2 linked regions of the Rattus norvegicus genome follow. The protein of the gene in region 2 purifies or fractionates together with the protein of the main gene of each other region. This does not show direct contact. Links are inferred from orthologs where the notes say so. Each region holds a gene or a part of one and is shown on either strand. Other genes may lie near its edges. The genes, in order: Cd9 and Itga3.

Region 1 (3,806 bases), on a different chromosome or scaffold from region 2:
GTTGCTTCAAAGTTTACCTTAACCTGGAAGGATTCCAGAACCTGCTTTTTGGGGCAGATGTCCGAGATAAACTGCTCCACACCACCAGCTATGCCACAGCAGTTCAACTGAAGAGAGACGGCAGGGAGGAGGGATGAGAAAAACAAAAAGGTAGTTAAAAGAGGCATGCCAGCCCCGTGTAGAAATACCCAAGTGTGGATACCCTGCAGGGATGTACCGGAGGGGTCAGCGGTTTCCGCTACAGAGGTGACCTACCGCCATATGGATGGCTTTGAGTGTTTCCCGCTGGGGCTCATCCTTGTTCCTTAACTTTTGGTAGGTGTCCTTGTAAAACTCCTGGAGTTCTTTAATCACCTACAAGGGACAGACAAAGGAGCAGAGATGGGTTTCTCAGAAACTGCTTCACGGATACTCTTCAAGCACTTGGCTAACTGCCACCGTACCGCCTTTCTCGGCACCATTCCTGCTTCGACCTCCAAAGTGCCCAGGTTACAGGAGTCTGCCATCTTGCCTGGGTTTCTTTTGAGGTGGTGGTGTGGTACTGGGGATCCCCGGCCTCTATCCCTTCGTAAATTCTTTTATCAGTTGGATAGATTTTTGAAAACAGGGATCCCACCTCGATGCCCCTGGGCTTCTTCTCTCATTGAAGAATGTTAGAGGCCCTGCCTCTAAATGCTGCACTGGTGTGTTCCAGTCCGGCCTACACGTCCTGAGAGTTCACCAGAGAAACTTAAACTCACACGCTTGGCCCCTTCTGTCGCCCAGAAGGTCCCCACTCCTCCCGTTTCCTCCCAAGACGCCCCATCTCATTCATGGTCTAGATCCACAGTCCTTTCTTTACAATCTTTTTAAATCTCAAGGGTTTTGGTTTTTTTTTTTTGGTTATAAATGACTAGTGTGACGTTTGTCAAACATCTTTCTCCCACCATACTAGATGGCAAAGTTCCTCAAGGTGTGGGACCTGGAAATACTCGGGGACCTTGCATAGCATCTGGTGTGGTGTTTGTAGCACGTATTTACGGATTAGAGAAAGGGAGTCTCTGCTGATTACAGAAAGCCATGGTGTTCTGAGCAACCTTTCGGGGAGTAGTGGGGGAGGGCTGTTTGGCTGTGATTGTCAGGCACGAAGATGGGTTCATCACACACAAATGGTTTCCAAAGTGAGTAATAGTTCTGAATGGTTACCATGTGCTGGCCACACAGGGCAGGCTAGCCCCACAATCCCAGTCCCACCGACTGTGTGTCCTGCTCTTATATGGGAACACACTGAATGCTGAGGGGAAAACCAAGCAAGTGACTAGCCTGGACCCTTCGATCTTTGTCAACCCTCTTCCTAGCTCAGAACCTCAAATCGCTGTAGGACCCAAGCATTCTTAGGGGAAACACCTACCTCGTCCTTGTGGGTATAGCCCCAGACGGCTGCGGCGATCTCAATGGCGAATATCACCAAGAGGAATCCGAAGAACTAGAAGACACAGGGGATGTGGTGAGAGGGACTCCAGCAAGCCAGTCAGGGACACCAAAGGGATGTAGAGCAGTTAGCATGCGGGTGGCACAGATGAACAGGCAGGAAGAGGGTGACCAAAAAGCAGAGAGCCCATGGCATTCCGGGGGGAAAATGTGATCCGTTGACCCTAAACTGGTGCTTGGGGTGTTATTTGGAGTCTGGCAGCAATAAAACACCACCGCCCACACACACCGAGCATGAGGGCACAAAGGCAGCACATTCACTCTGTGGCATTTGGGCATGAGGGAAACAATTTTTGAAACAGGAAGGAGAGAAGGCAAAAGGACCTGTGGACTTGGGGGAAGGGGAGAGTAAACATGGCCTTTGAGAAAGGCAGAAATGGAGTCCTGGCATTTAGCTACCTAGAAGGTGGGAGCCAGGCAGACAGGGCTGGGCCTGAGGTACCGATACTGAAAGGCTGAGCAAAGCCCAGCAGCCTAGGCCCTTTCCTTACTCCACTTGTTCTACCCATCCTGTGCACTGGGCCTGGTGACATTTTGGGAAAGGACGGGATTAAGGGTAAGACAGGCTGGAGACTGGGAGTACAGAAGGAATACTCACCAATCCCAGCATGCACTGTGACTCTTGTACAGCTCCACAGCAGCCCAGGAAACCAACTAGCATCATGAGGGCCCCAGCTCCAATCAGAATGTACACTCCTGAAGGGAGGAGAGGGGAAAAAGACACAAGGTTGCAAACGTCAGTGTGGAGGCCCAGGCCTCTTCCTCTTAGAGCTTTCATCATGCCTCCTTGTTGATAGCTTCCGCTCCAGGGAAGGAGACCTTTTTTTTAACAAAACAGCGTGCTCCACCTTGCCCTCTGGTTCCCCTCCCCTCCCTCTCCCCCAGAACTCTGCTCCACCACATCAACAATCTACCTTATCCTTGGGCCCGAGGACAGAACTCTCTGATTCTTAGGAGACAATCCCTGGCTCAGTCTGCTACTTTCTTCCCAACAGGATAATGCACTTGAGCTAAATTACTGAGACCTCTCAAACTACGGTTTGGGACTTGAGAATACCATCGATCCCTCCAGAAATCCTTTCTGCACACCGCCAGGCTGGCAAGAGGAGTTTTTCTTGTTCTAGTACAAATGGCACATGAGTGGGCATCAAATCAGAAGAGCTTTGTCTTGGTTCCAACATTGCTACTATCTGCTGGGTGTCTTTAGTTAGACTGCATTTGTGGGGTAGAGAGAAGGCTCAGTGGCTAAGAGTACTTGTGTAATTAATCATGGGAACCAGAGCGCTTATAAAAATGCCTGAAACTTCAGCTCCCAGGATCTAATTGATGCCCTCTTTGCAGGCACCTTGCACTGCGCGCGCACGCACACACACACACACACACACACACACACACACACACACACACACACACACACATGTGCTTGTCATGAAATCCTGTCAGTCCATCTGGAAAAAAATCTTATGGTTGGAATGAAGTTACTCTAGATTAAGGGTGAAAGGATTCATCACACTATGGAGAGTGGGTGACATCGTGCCTTCAGCCTTCAATGGGAGTGGTTGCTGGGGAGGAGGCAGAGAGGGTTAAGACCCCTGAAGTCTTGCCTACACCCAGACAGTGCAAATCCCTGGATCTGGAACCAGAGTAGACCAGCCCTGGATACATTTATTCCAGATCACCACGGCTATGCCCAGAGTCTAACCTGCAGTGACACTCTTGAGAAGCCATAGTTGCTGAGCAGGACTACCTTTGTGAAGCCCCCTTCTGTCCTAAGAGAGGTTGTAGTGCTTTCCATACGTATTGTATTTTAATATTCATTCTTAAGCTATGTATATGTCTCTGTTGATATATGTGCTTATGAATGCAGCTGCCCTTGGAGACTGGAAGAGGGCGCTGCAGCCCCTGGAGCTAGAGTTCCAGGCAGTTGCGAGCCACCCAACATATGTGCTAGGAATTGAACTTGGGTCCCTCTGCACAAGCACTACACAATGCCTCCCGTCTTGCTACCATGCTCTCGCCAACCTTGAGAAGGCTACAGTGACATATCAAGAGCCTCATCTTTAAAGCCCAGAATGCGTGGGTGGATATATGTTGAGGAAACGGGGCTCTTCAGTAAGTTCTGGCTGGCCTGAAACACTATGTAGATTGTCCTGGCACAAGCTCATAGAGATCCATCTGACTCTGCCTCCCGAGTGTTGGGTTTAAAGATGTACGTCTCAGCCAGGTGTGGTGGTACACCTTCTACTCTTTCTCTTTTGTTTCCTTTTCCCCCTCCAACATAGGGTCTCAGAATGTGGCTCCGAATATCCTAGAACTCTCTCTGTAGACCAGGCTGG
Region 2 (4,326 bases):
GGGGTTAACGTCATACACTACTACCACCTGACTGCCCCGGATTCTTACTATCAGATAGATACTGAGTTCTGCAAACCTGGGTCATGGGTGGGGTACCCCAGGATAGAGATAAAGAGTCTATCTGGGACTTTTAATCACTTCTGGACCAAACTCTTTGAGAACATAGAAGCTATGCTTTCTCCTCCCTGATCTCCCAGGGACTATGCACAAACCCATGATTGTGCAAATAGGGCTCTCTGAAAGCTGGCAGACCCCAAAGGACTGGAGCCACCCACCGCACTCTTCCAAGGAGCCTTAGAGGATGACAGAATCTGAAGTTGCAGTTTGACGTATTGGTTCCCTCGAACACAGGCAGCTGTTCACATCTGGCTACACAGCTGGCTACAGTGAATCCCAGCTGCTTCCTTCCCAAAAGGACGGAGAGCTGAACTCAGTAAGATGAAGACAGAACCAAGACACAGAAGCAGCTCTGGACAAAGACAGAGAAGACCCATCTGGCCAGAACCACCTGCTCTCAGAGATCCGTGAGTTTCGGCCTTCTCTGCAGCTGCCTGGAGAGGAAAACAGAAGCCTTTCCCATGGCCAACTTGGGGAGGACCTGTAGGTTCAAGAAGTACACCTCCACCCAGTCTCAGCCCCAGAGCCTACTGGTGTCCACCGGGGGACTGGACACACCAGAACCATTCTAGACACACCATCACACTAACGTATTTCTAACTCTAAGAAGGTGTGTTCTCCAGGACCAGGGAAACTAAGGCCCAGGAGTTAGAACCAGAGGCAAGACACGGCAGTGGTACTGGAACACTCAGCTTCTCTCTCTACAAAGCCAAGGTGCCTCTCAGAGGCCAGCAGAGATAAGAGAGCGAATACAGACCCAGGTACAACCGCATCCAGGGGGAAACTGGCCCCTGAGAGGGCAATATCGCCCTCAAGGTCACAGAGCAGAGGGAGAGGGGTTGCAGAATTTCTTCTACTGTGTCAGTTCCCACCATGCACATTCAACATCAGAACATCTGAAAACTCTGTACTGGGCTAGGGGAGGCAACCAACGGCATTGCTGTAGCCACTATCTATTACCAGAGGGCCTCAGAACGGTAGAAGGTTAAATCTGCCTGGCCAGGGCAGGAAGGGTGTGGTTGATCCACCTTCTTCTTCGGCAGGGGCCAGGTAGGGTAGAGACTAAGTCCAGGTGGCCAGTACAGACAGGGGCTGGGCCAGCAGGGCAGAGGCAAAGACAGAAGTGGAGTTGGACTTTGAACATTCCAAACTTCCTCAAGTTTCTACAGGCTCCAGCCAGCCTAGGGAGAGGTTTCGATATTTTTACCTTGACAGTGTCTTCTGATTTAGTAACTGTCAGAGGCCAGGTAGGAGTAAACGCCTTGCCAGGCCACCCAGCTCAAAAAGGTAGGAGGGTCTTATATGATCATCACTGGCCCTCCCGAGGTCGTTTTGCCTCCTCTGATCACCCTCTTCCCTCAGCAAGCCTACCTCAGCACACAGAACCCATGCAGAGAAACCTCAGACACCTGGACATGACCGGTTGGGCATGAGTGTGCCTAGGGAGGGGCAGGTGACTGGATGCAATCTCCTCCCCTCCTCCACTCTGCCTGGCTCTCTGAGCTTCTTGCAGCTGTTGCAAGGAAGAGCAGAAGAAAAGAGAAAACACCATTTCCCTCTTCAAACCAAAACAAACACACTCGGGGCTGCTGATTCAACATGAATCCGTGGAATGCAGGGAGATGACTGGTGGGAGGACCCCACCGCTTCCGGTGGGCTCTGGCCTCGGAGGCTTAGGACAGCGCCTCCTCTGTCTTCTACTGTCCGTCCCTCTAGGGGTCAGAGGGAGCCTCTGGACAGCTCCGAACGCCCAGCCTCTTCATCACCTCATTCTCCAATGCCAAACCCTTGAGAAGTGTGGTCCAGCCTGGTTCTGCAGAGGGCGTGGCTGCTCTGGCCACAGACTAAATGAGAGGGCTAATAGGGGCTTGAACGCATACATTCTCGGGTTCTCTACGGGAGGAGGGGAAGAGAGATGTAATAGGTGTTTAATGTACAACGTTCTCCCAGCCCAGGAAAGAAGCTAATGTTAAGTACTGGATTCTCAGGGTGCTGGGTAACAAAGACCCTACTTCCGAAGATGTCTGAAGCGTGGAGCGGCCGCGTCTAGACAGGTTCTGGCCAGGTCAGCACTTGCCATGATTACTCCCCCCGCCCCCCATCCTCCACTTGCCGCCAAGCCCCACAATCGGAGGGCTGCCGTCGTACCCGCCCTCTTAATCCTGGCTCACAAGGAAAGGCCAGCAACAGCAGGCCTGGAAATCGGCGGGCCCAGGACTCCATTTCAGCTTAGGTCAGGTATCCGCGCACATACCCTTCTCTCTGCACCCCACCTCACCGCCTCAAGGCTCACTTACAGGTAGCGCTGCTGTCGCTCAGTCTGCCGATGGAGGGCGACGGAGTAGCCAAAGAGGCTACCAGGGTTCACCGCCTCCTTCACCACCAGGAATTTGGTGTCCAGGTTGAAAGCGAAGGCGACCCGGCCACTAGCCGCCACCATCAAAGCCAGGGCGCGGAGCATCCAGCCAGGGTCGCGGGGCACGCGGCGCGGGCCAGGGCCCATGGCTGCGGGCCGGGCTGAACCGAGCCCGGCGAAATCGCTAGAGGGCTCAGCACCGGGAAGTGATGAACGGTTCACCTGCTCCAGGCGCCGCCAGAGGACACCCGAGCCCGCAGAGCCGCTGCGCCGGGACTCCGGCAATTTTTTTGCCCTAGTCCAGGTCAGTCTCACGTCTGCTCCGGGTTGGTGCTTCTCCAGTCTTTTTTCCAGATCCGTGTATCTACTCTCCGGTTGGTCCGATGGACCGGTCACCGATCCGGGCTCCGGGCACCCTGCACCCTAGATGGTCCGGGCCGCGCCCCCTTGGAGGTGTTAGCTCTTTAGATCTCGGCTAGGTGGAGGATCTAGAAAGGCAAATCCGCGATCGCTAGGAAGGCAGGAGGGAGGGATCCTCCCCGGCGCGCGCCCCGCCTCCCCACCGCCTAGCCCCGCACCTCCCCACCTTGCGCGCCCAGCCCGGGCTCCGCTTTCCTTCCGGGGAAAGAGAAAAGGTCCCCGCTCGGCCGCCGCCTCTTAAAGGGGCAGCGCTGCCCCTCCCTCTCCATCATTCCTATCGCGACTCCGCCCTCTCTCTCAGACACCTGTCGGGAACCCTTAAAGCCTGGATTTCCCCGGTCTAGCAGCAAGCTTCTTCCTAGGAACGTCGCCTTCAGCACAAGACGGATTGGACGGGCGGGGCCAGAGGTGGGATTTGCCTGGCGCTCCGCGGAGGCTGCAACTAGAAAGGCCGTTCTAGGCACCGCCAGCACCGCTGTCCCGGCTGGGCATACCAGGCATTGGCTCTTCGGGGGGGAATGATCGTCTGCGTTCGGCTGCCTGGAATGCGGACCTCCCCAGCACTGCGAGTCGCTAAAGAGGTGACTGTGGGTCTCCGGACTAAACTTCTTCGTTCTAAGTGACCTCAATGTTATGTCATTGTATGAAGGAGTATTTCTCCTGTCCACCCGCCTCCTCTCATCCTGATCCCAGCTGGAAGCGGCTCCTCCGCAGAGCCAGACAGATAAATAGCGGTGCTGATGACAGCCCATCAGCAATTGTAATTGGCAAAGGGCAATCTTTGTCTCTAAAAGCAGTGAATGGGATCTCAACTCTCACGGTTGTGATACCAGGTGAAGGGGTGGAGACAGGCGGGGTAGGCTCAAAGATCTCACTATCAGGGAAAGAAACTGAAAGGGAACTCAACGAGATCATTACGGAATTTTTTTTTTCTTAGTCAGATTTCCTCTAATGCAGAACAAAGACTCATTTTCCCTGAGCACCTTTTTCTGTGTTTTTATAATTAAGCAAGAACAGCATATGCAGCAGACACTATGCTAACTGCTTTACAAATACAACTTTTCCAAGGTAATATACATATATACAAGTCTCTATTCACACACACACACACACACACACACACACACACACACACACACACAATCACCAGTCATATACATACAGTAAGGAAAAGAGAAAGCTGAAAATAGGGCAAAAATGGACCCATCCAATGGGATTCTGCTCTGGTGTTTGAGAAGCCAGTGCGATCTGGGTCTGATTCCCTATCTATACAGAGGACCTTAGAAGGTAAGATTGCTTCCACGCGGAGGATTGAAGCTGCATTCGAAGGTGCAGCTCTTAGAGACCTTGCTGTCCTTTTGCCAATGACAATTATGGAAAGTTTGTCCTTGCCACCACTATGTAAATCCATGGCTGTACCTGTTATTCTGTTT

Evidence for each region.
Region 1: the proteins of Itga3 (region 2) and Cd9 purify together in Homo sapiens (affinity purification with western blotting; 3 studies listed by BioGRID and IntAct, with this or other methods). This does not show direct contact. The link is inferred for Rattus norvegicus from reciprocal best matches to the Homo sapiens genes ITGA3 and CD9.

Annotation. Positions count from the first base shown.
Region 1 is NC_086022.1:159,944,287-159,948,092, forward strand, and holds part of Cd9 (CD9 antigen), read right to left. Parts: intron 2,167-3,806; coding exon 2,069-2,166; intron 1,466-2,068; coding exon 1,391-1,465; intron 355-1,390; coding exon 256-354; intron 108-255; coding exon 18-107; intron 1-17. UniProt on the Homo sapiens protein: Integral membrane protein associated with integrins, which regulates different processes, such as sperm-egg fusion, platelet activation and aggregation, and cell adhesion.
Region 2 is NC_086028.1:80,515,856-80,520,181, forward strand, and holds the start of Itga3 (integrin alpha-3), read right to left. Parts: upstream 3,047-4,326; 5' UTR 2,621-3,046; coding exon 2,415-2,620; intron 1-2,414.